Caenorhabditis elegans: one gene and its partners. The protein of the gene in region 4 purifies or fractionates together with the protein of the main gene of each other region. This does not show direct contact. Each region holds a gene or a part of one and is shown on either strand. Other genes may lie near its edges. The genes, in order: nit-1, ech-7, gpa-10 and dpyd-1.

What was found.
Region 1: the proteins of dpyd-1 (region 4) and nit-1 fractionate together in Caenorhabditis elegans (co-fractionation; one large-scale study listed by BioGRID). This does not show direct contact.
Region 2: the proteins of dpyd-1 (region 4) and ech-7 fractionate together in Caenorhabditis elegans (co-fractionation; one large-scale study listed by BioGRID). This does not show direct contact.
Region 3: the proteins of dpyd-1 (region 4) and gpa-10 fractionate together in Caenorhabditis elegans (co-fractionation; one large-scale study listed by BioGRID). This does not show direct contact.

The regions. Positions count from the first base shown.
Region 1 is NC_003281.10:3,920,021-3,924,710, forward strand, and holds nit-1 (CN hydrolase domain-containing protein), read left to right. Parts: upstream 1-2,186; 5' UTR 2,187-2,206; intron 2,207-2,240; 5' UTR 2,241-2,323; intron 2,324-2,424; 5' UTR 2,425-2,431; coding exon 2,432-2,643; intron 2,644-2,791; coding exon 2,792-3,111; intron 3,112-3,160; coding exon 3,161-3,242; intron 3,243-3,463; coding exon 3,464-3,767; 3' UTR 3,768-3,853; downstream 3,854-4,690. Other genes in the region: ZK1058.3 (putative galactose-1-phosphate uridylyltransferase), read left to right, coding at 71-256, 310-618; metl-6 (tRNA N(3)-methylcytidine methyltransferase), read right to left, coding at 681-953, 1,005-1,160, 1,209-1,355, 1,403-1,555, 1,606-1,686; ZK1058.9 (uncharacterized protein), read right to left, coding at 3,979-4,090, 4,138-4,242, 4,291-4,416, 4,683-4,690.
Region 2 is NC_003279.8:14,366,188-14,371,327, forward strand, and holds ech-7 (putative enoyl-CoA hydratase, mitochondrial), read right to left. Parts: upstream 3,587-5,140; coding exon 3,345-3,586; intron 2,674-3,344; coding exon 2,295-2,673; intron 2,287-2,294; exon of another isoform or gene 2,210-2,286; intron 1,582-2,209; coding exon 1,432-1,581; 3' UTR 1,429-1,431; downstream 1-1,428. Other genes in the region: slc-30A5 (Proton-coupled zinc antiporter SLC30A5), read left to right, coding at 237-470, 1,126-1,218; bbs-1 (BBSome complex member BBS1), read right to left, coding at 5,136-5,140.
Region 3 is NC_003283.11:6,851,551-6,857,264, forward strand, and holds gpa-10 (Guanine nucleotide-binding protein alpha-10 subunit), read right to left. Parts: upstream 3,262-5,714; 5' UTR 3,254-3,261; coding exon 3,192-3,253; intron 3,146-3,191; coding exon 3,038-3,145; intron 2,855-3,037; coding exon 2,716-2,854; intron 2,663-2,715; coding exon 2,502-2,662; intron 2,098-2,501; coding exon 1,929-2,097; intron 1,879-1,928; coding exon 1,789-1,878; intron 1,740-1,788; coding exon 1,586-1,739; intron 1,544-1,585; coding exon 1,462-1,543; intron 1,280-1,461; coding exon 1,174-1,279; 3' UTR 971-1,173; downstream 1-970.
Region 4 is NC_003284.9:5,465,283-5,473,409, forward strand, and holds dpyd-1 (Dihydropyrimidine dehydrogenase [NADP(+)]), read left to right. Parts: upstream 1-2,587; 5' UTR 2,588-2,589; coding exon 2,590-2,664; intron 2,665-2,881; coding exon 2,882-2,995; intron 2,996-3,041; coding exon 3,042-3,130; intron 3,131-3,771; coding exon 3,772-4,021; intron 4,022-4,070; coding exon 4,071-4,539; intron 4,540-4,588; coding exon 4,589-4,761; intron 4,762-4,808; coding exon 4,809-4,936; intron 4,937-4,999; coding exon 5,000-5,082; intron 5,083-5,229; coding exon 5,230-5,381; intron 5,382-5,429; coding exon 5,430-6,047; intron 6,048-6,110; coding exon 6,111-6,842; intron 6,843-6,888; coding exon 6,889-7,022; intron 7,023-7,075; coding exon 7,076-7,238; 3' UTR 7,239-7,401; downstream 7,402-8,127. Other genes in the region: ddr-1 (Discoidin domain-containing receptor A), read left to right, coding at 204-399, 455-604, 659-781. UniProt on the Caenorhabditis elegans protein: Involved in pyrimidine base degradation. Catalyzes the reduction of uracil and thymine. Involved in the degradation of the chemotherapeutic drug 5-fluorouracil.

The DNA of each region.
Region 1 (4,690 bases), on a different chromosome or scaffold from region 4:
TCTAAAAAAAACGTACATAATTTTTTGCGGGGCATTTCAAAAACCGGTAGAATAAATTAATATATTTCAGAAACATTTCGAAAAGCACGGGAAGGTTATGCTGATGGACTATCTGGAGCAGGAAACTCTAAAAAAGGAACGAATAATCATGAGAAATGAGCACTGGACTTGGCTCGTACCGTACTGGGCATTCTGGCCGTATGAGACAATGCTTCTACCAAATCGACACGTGGAACGATTCACTGATTTGGGAGAGGTTCGTAAATTTGAAATTATAATTTAAAAATGGCAAAAATTCCGCTATTCCAGGTTGAAAAGCAATCACTCTCTGAAATTCTTCGTTCTCTACTCATCAAGTACGACAATGTCTTTGAATGCTCATTTCCCTACATGATGGGATGGTCTGGAGCCCCAACTGGCTCTTTTCTGACTGAAAATTGCTCATTTTGGCAGCTCCACTTGTCATTCTTCCCGCCACTTCTTCGTTCGGCGACTGTTCCGAAATTCCTTGCTGGATATGAAGTTTTTGCTGAAAAACAACGGGATCTTTCGCCGGAGATTGCTGCAAAAACGCTGAGCGAGATCGATGAAGAGCATTATTCAAAGAAATTGCAATAAATTTATTAACAACTTTAGTTAACAAGAACAAAACAATCGAATAAACATTTGAAAAAAAACAATTAACTCTCTCTAATAAACCTGGCTTGCACAAAAATCCGCGGAGCTTTCAGGCCTTTTTGATGATTAACCGTCATTCTATGTAGATACTCCTTCCGAACACATCGAAATCCAGATTTTTCAAAAACCTCCGAAAGCTCATTCAAATCAAAATAATAAGCTCTGGTGCCGTCTTGTCGAACATAAAATCGATCGGAAATTCTTGCTTCCCGGCCGAAACGAATCATAGCGTGATCATTGATACCGTAATCCCGGACTACAACAGAGCCTCCAATCTGGAACAAAAATTCCAATTTTATGTTGCTGGAAATTAAAAAAGCACTCACTTTTATCATTTTTCTTACATTTTCCGCTGAAATTTGATGTTTTTCGGGATGAATCGCGGATAGCACAAAAATAAGTGTAGCAAGATCAACTTGCTCTTCGAATGGAGATGAAACTGAAGGAATTGACAAATCCACGACAGATGTTGCTACGGAAAGCTGAAAATTTAATTTTAAACGTTTCATATCAGAGTTTTTTGCACATACTTCAAGCTCTTTTGCGCGTTCCTCCAACAATTTCACCGCGTTGTCCGAAAAATCGAATGCAAAAAGTTTCAGATTTGGAATTTCAGCGACTAATGGGAAAAGCATATTGCCGACGCCACATCCAGCTTCCAGATAGGAGATTTCTTTCTTAAATGAAAATTAAAAATTTTTCAGTGCAATTTCAGAATTAAAACCTCGAAATCTATGTCTGGGCACATCATTTTCAGATCTTCTGCACTCCAATTCCGATCCTTGAAGAAATTGTTTTTATTTCGATGATAGAATTTGTCCCAATTTTTTCGAGCGTCAATTTCCAGTTTATTTCGCTTGAAATCGCTTATACTCGTCTGAAAATTCATTTTTAAGCGTTTTTAAAAATACAGTTTTAGTTAAATACCTGTTTTGCCAGCTTTTCATGGTCATCTTCTGTTAATTCCCTTGAACTTTGACTTGAAAGAAAGCCCCCATCATCTGACATGTTTTCTGGAAAATTTTAAGCTTACACTAGTGTGGAAAAAGCAAGGAAAAAAGAAAAAAAAGAGGAAATTATGAAAAAAAAACAAAAAAAAATTAAAGTACAAAATTTCAACGACGCTCCGATCTCCCGCTATGTTTTGCGCGGAAGTTTAAATCACAGTTTCCAATTTAAATCTGAATTCAACAATTAAAAGCGACTAAATAGACATTTTCGTTCAAAATAAATATTTAAGCAAACATTCTTGAGCAATGTTCATAAAATATTGATCTTGTCGCTTCAATGTCCCCTCGAAACAACCCAATTTGCTACAGGCAAACTATAAGTGACTACAAAAGAATAGAACAATAGATCATCATCATCTTTTAATGAATGATATTTTGAACTTGCCTACGTGACAATTTACAATCTCATCGATGAACCCTCAAAGAAAACATTCTTATCATATCACTAATTGTCATCATTTTCATTTCGTCAGCCAGACCATGCCGAGTTCATTTTTGCCTTTGATGACTTGTTGGTCGCTATATAAAAAGAATACATTTTTTAGTATTTGTAACATCCCATAGCTTTTTTTCTTGGTTTCATACTTTTTTAAAACATCTGTGCAGACAGTATTTTCAGCTGCATAGGTGGCCAGGTGGGCTTTTTATTTGTGGCCGCGAAAATGGAAAGCTCGGCCACGAAGCAAATTTAGCTGAAAAATATCCTTCTTTTCAAACCCTATGCTCCTTTTTTCAGATTCAAAATGCCAAAAATTGCAATTGTTCAAGCGGGGACCCCACTATTTGATAAACCAGCAACTCTGGAAAAAGTTAAGAAAAATGTGGAAGAAGCAGCTGGAAATGGAGCTGAACTAGTGCTCTTTCCTGAAGCTTTTATTGGTGGATATCCAAAATGGAACAGCTTTGGAATCACAATGGGCACACGAACTCCAGAAGGAAGGAAAGAGTTTAAAAGGTGGGATGACCAAACTTTGAAATCACATACAACTCGAGTGTCTTTTGTTTTATCACAAAATTGTCAACTGACAAAATATGTGCCATTTCTTTTTCTACATTTTTTTGATGTCTTCACAATCGGCCGAGGCATAACTTTTCTGTTATAGATACTTCGAAAACGCCATCGAAGAGAACGGCGAGGAATCGAAGCTCATCGAATCTCTAGCAGCTCAGAATAATATCCATATTGTAATCGGAGTAGTTGAACGAGAAGCTTCAACCTTATACTGCTCTGTATTCTTTTACTCACCCTCCGGTTACCTTGGAAAGCACCGAAAACTCTTGCCAACTGCTCTAGAAAGATGTGTTTGGGGACAAGGTGATGGTTCAACAATGCCTGTGTTTAGTACAAGTGTTGGAAAAATTGGAAGTGCCATTTGCTGGGAGAATTATATGCCATTATATCGAATGACGCTTTACAGTAAAGGTTAGTAAATTTAATTTAACACCTAAATTCAAGAAATAATTAATTTCAGAAATCCAAATCTATCTAGCTCCAACTGTCGACGATAGAGATGTCTGGCTCTCTACCATGAGGACTATTGCATTAGAAGGAAGGTTAGTAAAGACCCTTGACTTCAAATTGCCTAGCCACATATTTTGAAACCTCTCGATCCAAAATTTTGAGATCTTTGACTCTAAATTTCGAGTCCCTTGGCCCAAATTTTAGAATACTTTATCTCAAACTTGATGGGTCTTCACCTCCAATTTTGGAACCCCAGACCGTTTTCGGCCCCTGACCGTTCAAACTTCGAATTCTCCCAAATATTTTCTTCCAGATGCTTCGTAGTATCTGCATGTCAATTCCTCAAATCCTCCGACTATCCCTTGGATCACCCACTTCGAAAAGAACACGGTGAAGATAAAGTCTTGATTCGCGGTGGATCATGCGCAGTTGATCCACTTGGAACTGTGCTCGTGGAGCCAGATTTCACAAAAGAAACGATTCGCTACACGGAATTCGATCTTTCTGATTTAGCTCTTGGAAAAATGGATTTAGACGTCGTCGGACACTACAGTAGGCCGGATGTATTCCAGTTGAAGGTCAATGAGAATTCACAGAGTACAGTAGTTAAGAAGTGAATTTAATTTCAAAATTTATTGTTCTAGTCTTGGAGGTGTGACTTCAAGGTCCAATGAATTTACAAATAAAACAATTTTTGTGTGAATTTTTTTTGTGTCGATCGCAATAAAAGGGGGAAAGCAGAAAATGATTAAGCGATGACGTGGCAGGGGAAGGAAAAATCGATCGATTCGATGAAGAAGAAGAGGACAAAAGTTGGAGGAAAATTCATTAATAATAACGAGACCAGCTAGCGGTTGAGCTTGTATAGTTGTGTGGGCGATAGCTGTTGAAGTGACGAAGACCACTGTTTCCATAACATGACCAGTACCATGGGGCAGCTCTGTAACGGACTCTATGCATCATTATCTACGTGCAAAAAATACTCACGTGGTTCCGAGATACTTGTTACTGTACATGTAGGAGCTCAAACTTTTCGGGCGGCTGGTGATGTCATAATGTGTTTCATTGGCAAGATAGGAATAGCCGGAGTATCTGAAACAATTTGAAAATTTTAGATACAGGTATAAATGGAATTCTTACCCTCGTCTGGTTGTTATCGGTCGACTTTCAGCGGTCAACTGCGGAGGCGTGTAGCTGGGTGTTAATCCATAATTCCTATCAAATGAATATGGCCGTCTGTAGTCTCCCTCTCGTCCGTACACATATCTGAAATGAAAAATCAAACAATTTTTGCATTTTAATGTGCTCTGTGGTTCTTGCCCAATAAAAAAGAATATCCTAGCTTCTTTTTTTATTTCTTCGATTGACATTTTGACGCCTTGAACTCTAGATGTTACACTAGAAAAGAGAAGATGCAGAACATTTTTTTGAACAGAAAATCTTCTAGAGATGTAAAGTTTGTCAAAAACATTTCGGAACAACAGGAACAGAAAAGCAGCATTTGACCCGCAAAAAAAACCCCAACGACTTACTTATAAAT
Region 2 (5,140 bases), on a different chromosome or scaffold from region 4:
TAGGGGTACTGTAGTTCTAGAAATATTGTTTTTTTTAGTTTCTGCGAGTTCCTAAAAAACATCGTGGAAATTTCTGCAACTTTTTGAAAAAATTCAAGAATTTTCTGAATTTCCTTCAGAACTGTCCGAAAATTTCTGAAACGTTCTAGAAAGCTGTTGGAAATTTTAAGAAACTTTCTGAGCTTCTGAACAAAAAATTTAAATATCTGAAAAAAAACCCCTTAATTTTTGCACAGATCGAGCACGTAGAATCGTATTCAAATGCACACATGTGGCAGCACAAATCGGATATCAACGTGGCAAGTGTACACGTTCAAGTGAAAGAAGAAGCGAATGCACAAATGATTCGACACCGTGTCTCGAATATCCTGAAGAGCACTGGAGCCACCCACTCAACTGTACAAGTTGAGAAAAAGACATTTGCACACAGGATACAACAAGTGTGTCCTGGATATAAAGCTGGTTATACGGTACGGGATGCTTTGTTGCTTAGAGGACAAAATATCTTTAAAAATGACAATTTTTCAAAAAAAAAGTTGTTTTTTTTCAGGAAATGTTTTATTTGATTAAATTTAATAATATTTCTAAAAACTACAAATTTCTGATTTTTTTGTTGAATTTTTTCATTCGAAAAAAAATAATTTGGAGCATTTTTTGCCATTTTTATATTTTCGATAGTAATAATATATAAAGTATTAAAAATATCTGAAATTGTAGATTTTTCCAATTTCAGAAATTTTTAATTACTTTATTACTATCGAAAATATAAAAACGGCAAAAAATGCTCCAAATGAATTTTTTTTCCAATTTTCAACAAAAATCTGAAATTTGCAGTTTTTAGAAATATTATTAAATTTCGTCAAATAAAACATTTTCTGAATAAAAAAATCGTAATTTTTAAAAATTAATTTTAATTTTTTTCGGAATTTTCAGTTAATTTTCGACTATAAAAATGAGAGAAAGTTGAAATTTCAGAAATAAAAAAAAATCGTTATTTAAAAAATAATGCTAAAATTCTGAAAAAAATTGTTAAAAAATTGTTCCTGAAATTTATGAAATTTTCTCAAATGTTGAGCATTTTTAATTGAAAAAAAGGGTAAACATTCAAATTTTCTCCAATTTCAGGTAGTCCGCGGAAGTGTGATAAGAGAGAAGAAGCATGATCATTCACATCACCACGGGCATTCACACGACGATCACAGCGGACATCATCATTAATTTATTCCAGTAGTATTTTTTTTCTTCTGAAATTCACTTATTTATAGTCATTTTTCCCCTTTTTTTCTAGTGTCTTTGCTTTACATTTCGGGATAATTTATTGTGTTTTTGTGTGTTTTTTCCCTTTTTTTCTCCCCCAAAAACCACCCCAAAGTTCCTTCAAAGAGTTAATGAAATTAATTTATTTTTAGAAAAAAAAAACGTTTTTTTTTTTCAACTTGAAGTCCATTTGGGAGCCCGTTTCTCTGCGAAAGCTGACATTCCTTCCCGGCGGTCATTGGTGGCGAAGGTCGACTGGAACAACTGCTTTTCCATTTCAAGGCCCTGATTTAGGCTGGTTTGGTAGGCCGAGTTTAGGGATCTCTGCAAGAAATTGGGAATATAATGTCTGCCTATGTGCCTACCTCATGCCTACATGTCTACCACATACCTAGGCCCCTAGCTCATACCTGCTTACCTGCCTATTCACTGACTATTCACAGCCTTTTTGCTGCCTACGATCCTGCCTGCCTTATGCCTACCAGTCTACTTCATGCCTAGGCGCCTACCTCATACCTACCTACCTATTTTATGCCTGACTGCCTAGCTACTTGTTTTCCTCATGCCTACATATTTTACGACTACCTGCCTGCCTCTTGCCTACCTTATGACTAGGTGCCTACATGCATTCCTTCTTGCCTACGTGCCTAGCTGCCTACATGGCTGTCTCCTACTTCATGCCTACACACCTATGTTATGCCTCTGCCTACCTACCTGCCTTACTCCTAGGTGCTCATTTCTACCTACCTACATAGCTACCTTATTTATGTCTCCCTATCTGCCTGCCTACCGCATACCTACCTAAAATATGCCTGCCCGCGTGCCTATTTCATGCCTACCTATTCTTTTATTTTCTTCTAGCTTGCCTGCCTACCTAATGCCTACCAAGTTTACACCTACCTACATACCTAATTTGTGCCTACCTTATGATTATGTGCTTACATCGGCCCTACATCGTGCCTACATCTTGCCTGCCTACGTGCCTATTCCATGCCTAATAGGCAGGTAAGCAGGCGTAGGCATTCCCGAAAACGTACCTTGACAGTTTTCACAATAAGAGGAGAATTCTTAGCGATCCTATCAGCCAACAGAACAGCCTCCCCAACCAACTGCTGCACCGGGAACACCTTGCTCACCAGGCCGTCTTCCTTCGCCTCCTGAGCGCCTAGTCGGTCGCCTGATAGGCATATTTCCATGGCAACTGACTTGCTCACATACCGGGGCCATCGTTGGGTACCACCTAATCCGGGGATGGTTCCGATGGTGATTTCCGGTTGGCCGAATATTGCATTCTCTCCAGCATATACTATATCACACATTAAGGCAAGTTCCGTGCCTCCGCCTAAGGCAAATCCGTTGACAGCGGCGATCACAGGTTTTGTGATGTGTGATAAGGTGTCCCAGTTCGTGAAATAGCTGAAAATTAGGTATGTTTTGTGCCTGCCTGTCTGCCTAGATGCCTAGCTTGTGCCTACCTGCCTACATGCTTACTATACGTCTGCCTACCTAGGTTGATGCGGGCCTCATGCTCGCTGTCCACACGTCCATATACCTGCCTAATGTCTGCCTGCCTTTGTGCCTTCTCCATGCCTAGATGCCTAGTTTGTGCCTGCCTCCTTCAAACCTACCTGCCTACGTGCCTATCAACTTACATCTGTCTGCCTTCCTACGTACCTACATACTTACCTACCTGCAAGCATGCCTACCTACCTCACGCTTATCTAATGCATGCCTACCTACACGATTTTTGCTCAGCCATCTCTACCGGCCCTGTCTTCAGTGTGCCTGCCTAAATGTGCCTACCTGCCTGCTTGTTACCCTATATACCTGGCTACCTACCTACCTACCTGCATGCACGCCTACCTACGAGTCTACGTGCCTACCTTGGTCCCTACCGCATAATCATATCTGCTTACATGCTTACATGCATCTGCCTAGATATTTGTATTATGCCTACCGGCCTACCTGACTATCTTCCGGTCTTTGTACTTGACTGCGTGCCTACCTACATGCCTGCCTGCCTACCCTCAAGACAAATAGACACCATGTAGGCACGTAGGCAGGCAGGCGCCTACACCAAAACTCACTCATTCTCAAAAACATCTGCAAACTCCAACTTGGCCATCTCCTTGATATCGGCTCCGGCAGCGAATGCCTTCTCACTTCCAGTGAGCACAATCACATGGTACGACTGATCCTTCTCCACTTTCAGCAGATTTTCAGACAATTCCAGCATAAGCTCACGGCAGAGAGCATTCAGAGCACTCGGGCGGTTCAGAGTGATCAGTGCAACGTTTTCGGCGGCTCCGGTACGTGAGAGGGTAATCATCTGGAATAAAAAGTGGAATTGGAAATTGACAACACTTTTGGCTTTGTGAAATTGGACAAAAAACGGGGGATATAGTCAGGGTACTGTAGTAGTACTGTAGGATTACTGTAGTTTTGGAAAAATTGGCTTTCTGTCTTTCGAAGGGATGATGGTTTGGAGTGAGTGGGGGGGGGGGGGGGATATGAGCAGGGTACTGTAGTAGTACTGTAGGGGTACAGTAGGAGTACTGTAGGATTACTGTAGTTATGGAAAAAAAAAAATTACTGTTCGTCTTTTGAAGGGATATTGACTTGAAGTTAGTAGGGGGATATGATCAGGGCACTGTAGTAGTACTGTAGTGGTACTGTAGGGGTATACGGTAGGGTTGCTGTAGTTTAGCAAAATATGAGTTTTTAGCTTTTGCAGAGGTATTGGGTTTGGAGTTGGTGGGGGATATGATCAGGGTACTGTAGTAGTACTGTAGGGGTATTGTAGGTATAAGATAGGGTTACTGTAGTTATAGAAAAATTGGCTTTGTGTATTTTTTAGGATTATTGATTTGAAGTTAGTAAAGGGATATGGTCAGGGTACTGTAGTAGTACTGTAGGGGTATACGGTAGGGTTACTGTAGTTTGGGAAATTTGATATTTTGCCCTTTTGGGAATTATTGACATGATGTTAGTAGGGGAATATGGTCAGGGTACTGTAGTACTGTAGGGGTACTGTAGGAGTACTGTAGGATTACTGTAGTTTTGGAAAAATTGGTTTTCTATCTTTTGAAGGGATATTGGTCCGATGGTCGTAGTCGAGGTACTGTAGTAGTAATGTATGGGTACTGTAGGTATACGGCAGGGTTACTGTAGTTGTAGAAAAATTGACTTTCTATCTTTTTAAGGAATATTGACTTAAAGTTAGTAAGGGGATATGGTCAGGGTTCTGTAGTAGTACTGTAAGGATACTGTAGGAGTACTGTAGGATTACTGTAGTTTGGCAAAATATGAGTTTTTAGCTTTTGAAGAGGTATTGGGTTGGGAGTTGGTGGGGGGATATGATCAAGGTACTGTAGTGGTACTGTAGGGTACTGTAGGTATAAGATAGGGTTACTGTAGTTGTAGAAAAATCGACTTTTCGTCTTTTGAAGGGTTATTGCTTAGGGGTTAGTGGGAGATATGGTAGTACTATAAGGGTTTTTTCTGAAACTTCAATTTTCTCCGAAAATTTTCACAGAAATCTGGATTTCCGAAAGTTTCACAATAAGCCTAATTGATTTTTTTTCTGAATGAATAACTATTTGGTATAACTCAATGATTTGTTAATTTTCAAAGTTTCTTTTGTCTGTTGTAAGAATTGTTGAACGTTAAAAAAACATCTACTTCAAAAAATAGTTAAAACGGTGCCAGTCGTTGTCCGCGCCGGAGTCTGGTTTATTCAATATTTTTATATGTATAGCGGAAAAATAGAAAAATTGATAAGAGTTCAGTGATAAGGAGCACACCACCACCAACACATCATGGCATGATTCTGGGCTCAGCGAGCACACAAATCGGAGCCAATAAGGGGAAAACTGGAACTAAT
Region 3 (5,714 bases), on a different chromosome or scaffold from region 4:
CATCAAACTATTGACATTTTAAAGGTTCATATTTTGAAAAAGAGATACATTTGACTAAAAGCTTCTATTTATTTTGATAATTTATTTCTTATTTTTCATATTTTTTTCTTATTTTTCATATTTTGATAATTTATTTCTTATGAAGTTTTTTTTTTTTTTTTTTTGAAGTTTTCGAGCCATGAATTCATTTTTTTTCAAGCCAGTTTTTCAGGCAAAAACTCCAAAAACTCCACTCCATATTCAAGTTATAATTATTTTAATAATTTTCACACTGTTGTAATCAAAATATTAATCAGATATGTATTTCAGAGACGAAATTTTCAATGCAATTAAATCTTTACCAAATGTAACGCTTATTTGGAAATATGAAACAAATGATTTGCAATGAGCAGAAGAAATTGAAAATATTCATTTTTCAAAATGGATTCCTCAAACCGCATTACTAAATGATGACCGTTTAACAGCATTCATGACACATGGAGGTCTTGGTAGCACAACTGAACTTGCGTATCTTGGTAAACCAGCATTAATGGTACCAGTATTTGCCGATCAAAACAGAAATTCTTTGATGTTGGCAAGACATGGAGGAGTTCTTGTAGTCGAAACGATCTTTGGAAAAGGGAACTTGTGAAAAATTCCATTTATTCAATTTTGAACGACGATCATTTTAAGAAGAACTCTAAAAAACTGGCAGAAATGTTGAGAAACCAACCAACAAATCCCAAGGAGACCGTAGTCAAATACACTGAATTTGTTGCAAAATTTGGTCCGTTCCCGGAAATGGATCCATATGGGAGGACACTTGGATTCATTCAAAGAAATCTTTTAGATGTATACCTTGTTATTATCTTTCCGTATATTTTTGGAATTCTGTCCATTTATCTTGTCGCATGTTTTTGTTTGAGAAGATGTGAAAAGTCAGGTAAAAACGATTGAACATTTTTCTTCTAAAAGAGATTCGAATAAATATGTATGTTCCTTTAATCTTATTTGGTTCTCACTTTACACTGAAAATTAGTACAAATTTTCATCAGAGTTTCAGTCACGATAAATTTCAATCAATAAAAAATGACACCACTCAAATAGAATAGGGAATAATTATTACTAATCACACACGTTGTTTGAGGCAGATACTAAATTGAAGAACAATAATTTGTGCAGAGCGATTGGAGTTCATATCATTCCCGTATCTTTGAGATTATCTTGAATAACTGTATCTATCACTGTATTGATGATTATTTGAACTTGATCCGATATTGCACATGTTTCATGGGTGTACCTGTAAAATTACGTTTTTGAAATTTACATTTTATTTTCTAGTACTGTTAGTGTTCCATACTGGCACAAAAAAGTCAAAAATATCCAAGAAGTCGAATACGTTCAGAATTCTTTTAGTTTGTAAGTTCATAGTTAGATTTTCAAAAGTGCAGTAGACACAAAACTGTAGTCTCAAAAACTCACATTCTTTTTTTGAAGTCCGGGTGAATCCCTTCTCTAAATTGTCTCCGAAAGAACTTTGTACCTTCTGAAACTGTGTTTGCTCCTGAAACATGAAACTATGAATTCAAAAACTTGGAAAACAAACCTTCAAATTTTGGAAAGTAATCCTTAATCTTCACATGTTTTACTTTCTCCTCGAACAAATCAATTTTGTTCAGGAAAAGTATGACTGCCGCTTTTTTGAAAAACTTTCCATTAAAAACTGTCCAGAACAATCTGATGGATTCATGCATACGGTTCTAAAATTTAATTTTTCGTTTCAATTTTGTGGCTGTTTGGAAAAATTACCGTCTCTTCATCCTCCGCTAACTTCTGATCAAACTCGCTAATAGCCGCTACAAAAAGAACAGCGTCAGCCTCATCGAAAAAGTGATACCACTGAAATTAAATTCTCAATTAGGAAACAAAGAAATAGTTAAATTTCCAACTTTTCGTCTTTCAGATCGTTGTCCACCACAATCGCAAATCATCAATTTGATATTGTTCATAATAACTTCGACTTGTGCAACTCCCGTTGTAGGTACCCGTATGTGAACAATATCCTGATTTGTCGGTTCAAAGCCTGGCAATTTTATACGGTCGATGTTGTCGAAGAAACTGAAAATGAATTATTAAGTTCAAATAACACAATTTTGAGATAATTTAATGTAGTTATTCAATTGATTTTTTATTGCAAAATTTGCCTGCTAGAACAAGAACATAAACAAGTTAACATCATAGACTTCAGCGATCACTATCACAATTTTTTTTTTCTAGACCTGTTAATTACATGTTCCGTTAGACCAAATGACAGATACACGAACAATGTCTGTAGTTTGGTTTTATTTGTGAACGAACAAACATATACATAACTCGAAACATTTAAATAATAACTGTGTGACATAAAAGAATATTTTAAGAAACATTTCAGACATTTTTGAAACGTGTTTTTGAATCAATTGAAACATTTTTCTATAATTCTAACTATGAATGCGCTACAAGTTTCCAAAAAAAAAACTCACTACTTGGCACTATCTGTCAAATGAAATGTGTCTCTCTTGGAATACGCGTCCTGTATTGCACTGTTTCCCCAGAATTCCTTCAGTGTATCGGCGAGTTCAGGTCTCATTATTCCATCATGAATTACCGCCATTTTCAGTTCTTCGCACATCACAGTATATCGCTAAAAGTTTTTAATTTGAAACCTAATAAAACCCGAGAGGTCGCAAAACTCACTTTATCATCGTCTTCCGTCATCTCCAAAATATATTCTCTGACGTATTCTAACAACATCTCAGAAAATTGACATAAATTCTGTATAATTAGCACTTTTCGTTCGTGTAGTTCTGTCTTTGTGTAGTTTCCAGTCATGGCTCTGAAAATAGAATGTTTGGCTACCCATATAACAGGAAATATAATAGTTATTAATTAATTTTCAAACTGTAAACAGAAAGAAACAGACACAACTCCCAAGGTATAATCAGAAACCTATTTATTTTCCCGTTGTTAATTCAAAATATTAGGTCATGTACAAGAATTATTAAAAAATCAAATATACCTCATCTGTTTCATGACAGTACTTTTTCCACTTTCACCAGGCCCCAGTAGAAGAACGGTTTGCTCCAATTGCATGTTTTTCTTCTTTTCGAGCTGTTTTTCTATTTCTCTGAAATATTAACGACAATTATGAAACATGTAACTCAAAAACTGACTTGTTAACTTTGATCTGATCCTTCATCTCGTCAGTGAGTACAAATGACTGACAGACCCCCATGTTTCCCTGAACATATATTGAAATTTTTGAAAGAACAAAAATAATTCAAAGATTATGACGATTATGATAGAGAACGCAAACTTTAATTATAGGATGCCAGCGAGATTCAACTTAGACAACGAGACAAATGAAATGACTAATCAGAAAAAAAAAAACAAAACATGTTGTCATGCCAAAAAAAAAGTTTCAGAAAGCTTGTCGAGACAAACTGAACAGACTTTTCGGCAACGAAAATGTAGATTTCACACCGGAAATAAAGTCAATTTCCACTGTATTGCTCAGAGAGAATGTACAAGTTTCGTCAAAAAAAGTTACTATTTTCATGAGAATTTTCAAATCCATCAATGCAAGAGAACATTCCTTCAAAAAAAATTATTTGAAACCCGTATTTCAAAGCCGCGCGACAAACTGAATATGTACCAAAAAAAAAAAATAAATAGATACGTAACTCGGGATGAAACCAAACTCGTTGACTAATTTTCAAAAGTCATCAACACTAGAAACGACAATATAATTTCGAAAGAACTTGTTAGACTTAAAGAGAGATAGGTAAATCCTAAATTTCAAGACCTTGTGTGACGCCATAATTTTCCATGAAAAAGCAACATGGTAGCACGTGAAGAACATAGTTACTTTAGATTTGTAGATTTGTACTTTAGATTGGGATGTTTTTTTCTTTAACACAAATTGTTTTTTGTCTCAATGTTAAAGATGAACCAGTTTTTCAAGAACGTTCAAAATGACATTTGGAAACTTTCTCTAAAACCACAGATTTTGGTTCACCGAAAAACATCTGAACACTTTTTCACTACCCGTCAAAGTCAAGAAATATTTAAATGAAATGGCGATAAATTACATTTTTGTTTGAAACCAGTTGTAATCGTTATGTTCGCAAAATTTTTCCGAAAAGCGCATGAGCTCAACACAAATTTAAAATCACATAGGCTTAAAAGTCGTGACAACACAAAAATGTAAAAAAAAAGTTGTGGAGAACACGAGAGAAGAAAAGGGAAAAAAGCAAAGTTATGATTAAATGAAATGAGAAGGAAGGTAGTGATGATTAGCGGCGGTCCTCTCCCCCCGGTTTCCTTGACTACCGCAGATTCCCAATTAAGCCTCTCTGTAACAAAGAAACTAAAAGGTGAATAACAAAACAAAAACACGAGAACAACTTCTGACTTGCATGTTGAATGAAATACACTCAAAAATCGCGAGACTACTTGAGCGTGGGAATGATCAAAAAGAAGGAAAAAAGATAATGTGATTGTTGGTTGTGTATTTGGGTTAGAGGGAGATATATTTATATTATCAATCAAAAAAAAACAGAATACCCGATGCTCTATAGGGAAACATTTATGTTGCTATGGTTTTATGATAGCTGGTCAGAAAAATAGATAGATTAGAAAAGCGTTTTGAAAAAGAGAGAACTACGCCAATTGAGTAAAGTTTTTTAAACGACACGCAAACGGAAATCGTTAGCTTTGTTGTGAGTTAAACCGGAAACAAGTTTATCTGGTCTTGATATCAATAATAACACTGGGACCAAATCTCAAACTTCACTAGCTAAAATAATAAAAAGTAAATGAGTTAAATGTCTTTGTGAGTCTGAAAACGAATAAAAGCGGAAAGATTATTGCAAAAAAATTATGTTCGAACTTTCTGATATTGAATTATTCTTGCCGAATCATGCACCACAAGATGCCAAGATTAAAATAAAATCAAGCCAAATTCGGAGTTCGTTCATTTTGTATGAAATATTGGAAAGACCGGAATTAAACATTGATAAGAATGATTTTTGAAGTTACATTTACGAACCTCAAAATAATTTTTAAACGATTTCAGATCACAAATGTCAGAATTATCACCTAAATTTTTTTGTGAAAATTAATAAACAGATCATGGAATTTTTGTCTGGGATAATATGGTGACTTTAGAACATTTAGAGATATTTATAGCAAAAAAAAAGTCAGACAACGTATTTTATTTATGTTTTCGACCAGCTGGAACCAGAATCTCCAATTTTGAGAATTCTTGCTCACGAGCAGATTTTTTTTTCGCTGACCAGGGTAAATTCCAGAAACCGACCGTACCTATGAAATGCCCACTCTCGAAGTGTTTAGGAAATTAGATAAACTGACAAGTTTTTGCATTTGAATTTTGAGGTGAAAGAAGTTGTAGAAACGTACAGATTTTTAAAAATTAGTTAATTTCCCGGAAGTTTTAATTTCTTCAAATTTAAGAAAAATGAACAATAAAATTTCAGCTTCAGGATTAGAATCACTTCCGAAACTTTTTTTTTGTTCTGAACTTCTATTGTTTGATATACAAAGAGTATAACAAAATTACTTATCACACTTCCTACGCCAAACGAAATCTCCCGGCGTTCACTAGAATAATCAAAATTTTAGGAACTCCAAGAAATGAAAGACACGTTGTCTGGAAAACTGTTTTTGGTTTGGTG
Region 4 (8,127 bases):
TTTTCAAGCACATAGAAAGTAATTTTAATTTGGCAATTGGTTTCAAGCTAGGAAATTTCGGAAAAATGTTGAACTACCTGTTTCCTGTACATGAACCCGTGAAGTGAAAAATCAACAAATTTTATACTCGTATGTATCCTCATGCTCTTAAAATTACTAAAATTTTATTTTATATTGATAATACATCTATGTTAATTTTTCAGTACCGAATTTCTTGTCCGAATTTGCAAAGACATATATTCTGCAATGGCATACTTGGAAAGTATTCGGATAGTTCACGGACATTTCACCCCAAACAACATACTCATGGACGGTGAATTCCATGCAAAAGTGTGCTCGCCCCGAGGGCCATCACATCATGCTCAACTTCGTTATTCTGCTCCAGAATCAATTGTGAATGTAGGTGTCTTATTTATTCAAATATTATAATACTCTTTCAAAAATATTTTTCCAGAACGAATTCACTCATAAATCTGATGCTTGGGCCGTTGCTACAACGGTGTACGAGATGGCTTATCAGTGCCGACAGCGTCCATACGAAGAACTCACCAATGAGCAGATAGTTGATAACGCGTGTGCTCTGCTGGATCACCAACCAAATGCGGTGAGAAACTATCAAAATGAATAATTTGATAAATATTTGAAACTTTAATTTCAGGTTGTACCGTTGATGCCAACAGTTTTTAACTATGAAATCTTACAACTTTTGACGCGATGTTTCCGGGTGGACCAGTTGGAGCGGCCGACGTTTGAGCGTCTAGTCAAGCCTTTCCAAGACTGAAATAATTCATCTCAAAACAAAAACTTTACATATTCCACATATTCCTCCTTGACCCATTGATCTCTCCCAAACTCCATTTCTTCTACTTATTCAGGACTCACTTCATTGAGATTTCACTGACTTCTTTCCCAAAGTTTTAACCTACGAGTATATAAGAGAATCGAACTGAAAAAAAGATGAGATAGTTGAAGAGGTGACAAGGACATTGTCAAATAGTGTAGAATTTTTCGGCGCAAACTAACAAAAAAAAAGAAGATATGAGAAAATAAACGTGATCTTTTGGTTTGTGATCTTACTTTACCCGCCAATCAATCATCATTCTGCAATTGTTTTAAACCAATATTTCTAAACTGCTAGTTGTAAAAACTGACCTCTGCCTTCCCTCTTCACTATCTCAATGAGCCCGACCCAAGACAAGAGCAAGTGAGCCAATCGACCTGGACCACAGGTCTAATAACCGTTGCGCATCCCCCTCCGTCTCATTCCCTACAATTTGCTTTATTAACCCGTCTCTCTGTCATTGTTGACTGTCGATGTCTCTGCATTTTTTTCTCAGTTCTAGAGATCAAAAAGTATTTGTTTTCCGCTCCTCTTCCCAGAATTTTAAACCAGAATCAAAGTTTCAAAGTTTTAGTGGTGTACTCTGTTTATATGGTTTTTACGCGTATTGAATTTTTATTTTTACTTTCTTCAACAAATAAAATGTTTTACATTTTCTTAATGCTTTCCTTGGAGTAATGTTTATACCCTAATTATGTTCAAATGAACGAATTTAATTTTGAAACTTCTCAAAAATAGTTTTAGCAAATTTTATGGGGATTCAAAATTTCAAAAAATGAGTTCATTTTAGCAATAATCTTCAATTTTGTTTTTTTTATTACGTGTCGCAGCTGTCAAAAATTGATTATTTCCTCTTGAATTATCATCTCTTATTGCATATTTTGATTGTTTAGATCACGTTATTTGGTTAAGGCACTTTTTAGGCCTAAGGGTAACCAATATTGGTTAATTTTGGTTACCTAATGACTTTAAATGTATTTTAATCAACGTAATAACATGACCCAAACTACCAAAACATGCGATAAACACTGATAATTCAAAAAGTCAGATTTGGACCTCTAACGTGGCCAACGATTTCAGTAAGAATGAGCTCTCTTTTTCAAACTTTTGAATCACCAATAACATTTTAACTTTTTTTTTGAAAGGTCTCATTACGAAAATTGTTCATTTAGGCACATTTTGAGTATATAATCCCAATTCATCACGCGACATCAATCCTGACCAATTCACTTGATATGAATAATAATAATATCAAATCTCTCTCAAAAAGAGAATAAACCTGCTTTGAAAAATAAAAAAAGATAGGTAGACTTATTTGTGTTGACCGCTCAAATCGAGTGACAAAAACCTGATAAATGAACACGTGGCGCGAGATGATTTGCAGTATATAGAAAAAATCGGCTGTAATCTTATCAGTTCTGTTCGTTGATACAATCTCGGCATTCATTACCTTTCTTTTTCTCCTACTTTATCATTTTTCCTTTGATACAGTCAACCCCCGTTTTCGTTGGTCAGTCGACGCGCTGTCAGCGTATCGAAAGTCGAGAAAACCTTTTGTACCATCGCTTTGAAGTAGGATGTTTTGAATCAAAAAAAAAATCTAAAAATTGAAACTTTTTGATGGTGTCTATTCTCAGTTAAATTTATTTAATAATTTATATTATTTGACACTCATGTCGTACGACTTTTATGCGTTTTGTTTGTCAATTTTCATATTTTGTAAATTTTTCAACATCATATTTACAGCCATGACTCCAAAGCCAAATACTACTAGTCCAACCAATAATCTTCCTCTTCTCAGCAAGGACTCCCCGGATATCGAGGTATAGTTCTTTTAAAAAGTTCAAAATCATATTCAGTACTAAAACAAAGTTTCTGTTTCTAAGTCTGCCTTTTTGCTAAACTGATAAGACTTTTTGATAAGCAGCGCACGTGCAAGTGGCACGTGCAGTCCGATAGCAAGTTTTGGGAGAAACCTTTGATCTTCTGTTAATGGGCATACTAAACTTAAAAAGTTGTACAAGATAATTCCGATTTCAGAGTCTCCTCATCTTGAACCCAAAAGTACAAGACAAGGCAAATGCAGTTCCAAGTGCGGTGACAAAGAAAAACAAGCACAACTGGAAGAGAAACGAGGAGAAAGGATGTGGATCTGTAATTTTGGAACTCAGAAGATAAAACTTCATTTTCAATTTTTCAGACCTGCGGAGAATCTAAGCTCAAGAATGACTTCCGAGACATCAAGCACACTACGCTCAGTGAGCGCGGAGCTTTGAAGGAAGCGATGAGGTATAAAATAAAGGACAGTGTGACGTAGTGATCTATGAAAAATCAGATATAATGTGATACTGATTATTTTAGGGGTATTGTAGTTCGGAAACATTTTGAGAGAAGTGTGAAAGAAGTTTGAAAGGCAAGCAATACTAATTTTCGGAACCTCTACATTTCGTTTATAAAGTGCAATAAGAAAATTTTGCAATAAATTAAAGGGAGTGTAGTGTCAGTTAGGATTTTGTTCAAGTTTACTTTTAAATTGAAAGAATATCATACATATTTGAAAAATATATTTAAAAACAATTAATTAAAACATAACAAAATAATAAAGTTCGTGGAAAAAAAACTTTTTTGGTCGGCTTTTAATTTGAATTTATTGGTTTCAATAACTTAGTAACTGACAATTGTAAAAAAATGTAAAAATTGAATAGAACATCCTCACCGCTCTCTTTATTTTCATAAAATTAATTAGTTTTAAGTCTAAAGTTTCCTGCAAAAAGGACGTCAGACTCAAAATACTCACAGTACATTCTAACAGCCCTATTTTTGGAAAAAGGGAAAAGTAGATTCAGCAACCAACTTTGTGAAGTTAAAACTCATTTCTAATCATTTCTAAACTATCTTATCTAAACCCATGTACTTGGTATTTTTTTCAGATGTTTGAAATGCGCCGACGCTCCTTGCCAAAAAAGTTGCCCAACCCAATTGGATGTCAAAAGCTTCATAACTAGCATTTCAAACAAAAACTACTACGGAGCAGCTCGTCAAATTCTTTCTGACAACCCACTGGGTCTGACCTGTGGAATGATTTGCCCAACATCGGATCTTTGTGTTGGATCGTGTAACTTGCAAGCAAGTGAAGAAGGCGCTATCAACATTGGTGGTCTTCAGCAGTATGCTTGTGACGTGAGCCATATGAGTCTTAGTTGAAGTGTTATTCATTGTAATGTTCCAGGTGTTCAAGCAAATGAATGTTCGTCAAATCGTATCAAAGGAAGTTCGGGAGAACCGCAACGCTTCTCATAAGGAGCAAGTTGCTCTTATCGGATGCGGACCGGCCAGTATTTCATGTGCATCGTTTTTGGCTCGTTTAGGATATACAGATATTACTATCTATGAAAAGAGAGCTTACATCGGAGGGCTTTCATCTGCTGAAATTCCACAGTTCCGTCTTCCTTATGACGTTGTTGACTTTGAAATTCAGCTTGCCAGAGACATTGGAGTCCAGATTGAAACAAACAGACCTTTAGGAAAAGACGGTCTAACACTTGCCAAATTGAAGGAACAAGGAGCTGCCGCTGTTTTTATTGGTATCGGAAACCCAGAACCAAAAATTGATCCTCTCTTTGAAGGATTGACAATTGAGAATGGATTTTATACTAGCAAAAATTATCTTCCAGCTGTCGCGGCTGCTAGCAAACCTGGTAAGTTGGACATGATAACTTTCATTAAGGTTTTCGTTTATTTTTATAGGTATGTGCGGATGTAAGAGAACTCCACTTCCAACAATGAGAGGACGTGTCGTTGTGCTCGGAGCAGGAGATACTGCAATGGACTGTGCAACATCTGCTCTCCGTTGTGGTGCATCTCGTGTCACCATTGCTTTCCGCAAAGGTTTCACTGGAATCCGTGCTGTTCCTGAAGAGGTTATTCTTTTTTTCAAATGACAAAAATAGCTAAATGTTCATTTCAGATGGAAGCAGCCAAGGAAGAAAAATGTGAGTTCCTTCCATTCTCAGCGCCACGAAAAATCAACGTGAAGGACGGGCGCATTGTCTCGATCGAATTCAACAAGACCGAACAAGATGACAACGGCAAGTGGTGAGTAGTGTAAAATTAGCGCAAATAAGGAGAATTCGGGTGAAATTAGTCATTTCGTTGCAGGTACGAGGATGAGGAACAGATTGTTATCTTGAAATGCGACTATGTGATTTCCGCATTTGGATCCACGTTGAAAGAAGACGCAGGTGTGTTGAGCGGTTTTTTTTCTTAAGAACTAACCGAGAGCTGACTTTGAAGATTACTATCACCGAGAGTTTTTGGAAATAAATAGTGATCTCTGATTCGCCAGCAAAAACATGTTTTAGCTTAGATTGATCATTGAATTCTTACAGTTTTGTCGGCTTTGCAACCATGCCAGTTGAATAAGTGGGGAGGAATTGAAGTAGATTCAACAACACAACAAACTTCGGAAAAATGGGTATTTGCTGGAGGAGATGTGGCAGGAGTCGCAGAAACAACCGTCGAATCTGTCAATGATGGAAAGGTTTGAAAATCTTAATGGGCAGAATTCTTATTTTGGCAAATATTTAAGATTGCCGCCTGGAATATGCATCGCTACATTCAATCTCTTCACGGCAACCAGGTGTCCGAGACCCCAGAACTTCCACAATTCTTCACCCCAATCGACGAGGTTGATATCTCCGTTGACATGTGCGGCGTTAAATTCGAAAATCCATTCGGACTGGCTTCTGCTCCTCCAACCACTTCTGGACCAATGTGTCGCCGTGCTTTCGAACAAGGATGGGGATTCATTCTCACCAAAACATATGGATTGGACAAGGACTTGGTCACCAATGTCTCTCCACGTATTGTCCGAGGATCTACCAGTGGACCACTTTATGGACCAAACCAAGGATCATTCATGAATATTGAGCTTATCTCAGAGAAATCCTGTGAATACTGGCTTCAATGTATTAGGGAGTTGAAACGTGACCATCCAACTAAAATTGTCATCGCATCGATCATGTGCGTCTATAACAAGGCTGATTGGATTGAGCTTGCAACAAAGAGTGAGGAAGCTGGAGCAGATATTCTTGAGCTCAACCTCTCTTGTCCACATGGAATGGGAGAAAAGGGAATGGGATTGGCTTGTGGACAAAGCCCCGAAATTGTAAAGGAAATTTGTAGATGGGTTCGCGCTTGTGTCAAGGTATGTTTTCCACTGTAATGTGAAGATTTTAAATTGCGAATTTAATAAATTTCATGAGTTTAGATCCCATTCTTCCCAAAAATGACTCCAAATATCACTGACGTTCGTGAGATCGCCAGAGCTGCTAGAGACGGAGGCGCAAGTGGAGTGACTGCAACAAATACCGTTTCCTCACTTATGCACATGAAGGCTGATGGAAATGCTTGGCCAGCAATTGGATCAACAAAAAGAACCACATACGGAGGAATGTCCGGGTCGGCTATTCGTCCAATCGCTATGAAGGCTGTCTCATCAATCGCTAACGAACTAGATGGTTTCCCAATCATGGCGACCGGTGGAATTGAAAGCGCAGAGACTGGACTCGGATTCTTGATGGCAGGAGCTTCAGTCCTCCAAGTTTGCTCCGCAGTTCAGAATCAAGATTTCACAGTTGTCGACGATTACTGTACTGGACTCAAGGCACTTCTTTATCTTTCTGGCGCTGAGTCACTCAAAAACTGGGATGGACAATCGCCACCAATCGAAAAACATCAAAAAGGAAAACCTATCTTGCTTCAAGGACAAAAGAAAATGCCATTCTTCGGAAAGTACAGGGATGAACGTGAAAAGCTTGAGGCTATTAAACTGTCAGAAAGCAACCTTTTGGACACCGAAAACTATCACTTTGCTTCGAGACCAGACACTCAAGTTTCGCGTGTCCCAACTGTTGAAGATGTCATTGGAAAAGCCCTGCCACGTATTGGCCCATATGTCACACTCGACAACCAAGAGCAGAAGGTTGCAATTATTGATGATGTAAGTATCTCAATATTGTTATGAACCGAAAACATTTTAATTTCAGGATATGTGCATCAATTGTGGAAAGTGTTATATGACATGCAATGATTCTGGATACCAAGCTATCACTTTTGATCCAGTCACCCATCAGCCACATGTTACGGAAGACGATTGTACTGGATGTACTCTTTGCTACAGGTACAAATATTACAACCCACTCCCACAAAAAAATTTTAAAAATTGTATTTTAGTGTGTGCCCGATTCCGGAATGTATAGAAATGGTGCCAAGAACTGGGCCATGGAAGGCTCCAAAACGTGGTGTGAAGCCATCGGTCGAGCCAGGAACTCCAAAAGTCGTCAAAGTTGACCAACGTGGAAGAGTTATCCTAGATACTACTGGTGGAATGCAGTAACTTTTATTTGTTTGGTAGTTTTTCTGAATTTTCGTTTCACTTATCACTTACTTTCTTCCGATTCGTTTTTTTTGTTACATCTTCTAGTGTATGCATTGTGTTTTTCTGTCTAAATTTTATTCATGCTAAATCTTCCCTCAAAATAAATTACTCAACAATTAAAAGGACATGTACAGAAAAGGAATCCCCTGAACAGAATGGATGAGATGCTTCTTGGCGCTTTCTAACTCGCTGTTGACAGTTAGGCTATTGTCTTTCACGTCATTCGTTTGCTCAAAGCTCCACACTAACTGTTTGTGTGACAGAGAGATTGGAAGAAAACGGCAAGATGGTTCAAATCTTTGTCCGAACAATTCGTGCTACTGAACTATGGTGCAAAGATGTTTCAGTTTCCGAATATATCTGATATTAGATATATTATGTAAAATTCACTATGCCATTAATATGTAGTACTCAATGACATCATCTTTGAAGGTGACGTTCATTAGAATAATATGCCATGTTCCGAAAACGCACCGGTAAACAATACCTTCTGCGGGCAATAAATACTCGGATCAAACTGACGTTACTACGAAAATTCGTCATTTGTGAGAAAACATTTATGATTAAAAAATTGATTTTCTTAAATAGTCATTTCAAAAAATCTGTAAAGAATAAGTACTACATATGTAGACAATTACAAATTCCCATATTTCTCATGTGAAATTATTTTCAGGAAGTATAACTATTTCTATATGTTTTTTTTAATGAAAATTGAAAAAAAACTCACAGTCAAAAAGGAGAAAATGTGGATTTTGTAAATGTGCCAAACCCAAAATATCGATGTCAAAAAAATCTCAAGAAAATTTAAAATTTATATTCAGCATTTCACATTTTCTTCAGCTTCATA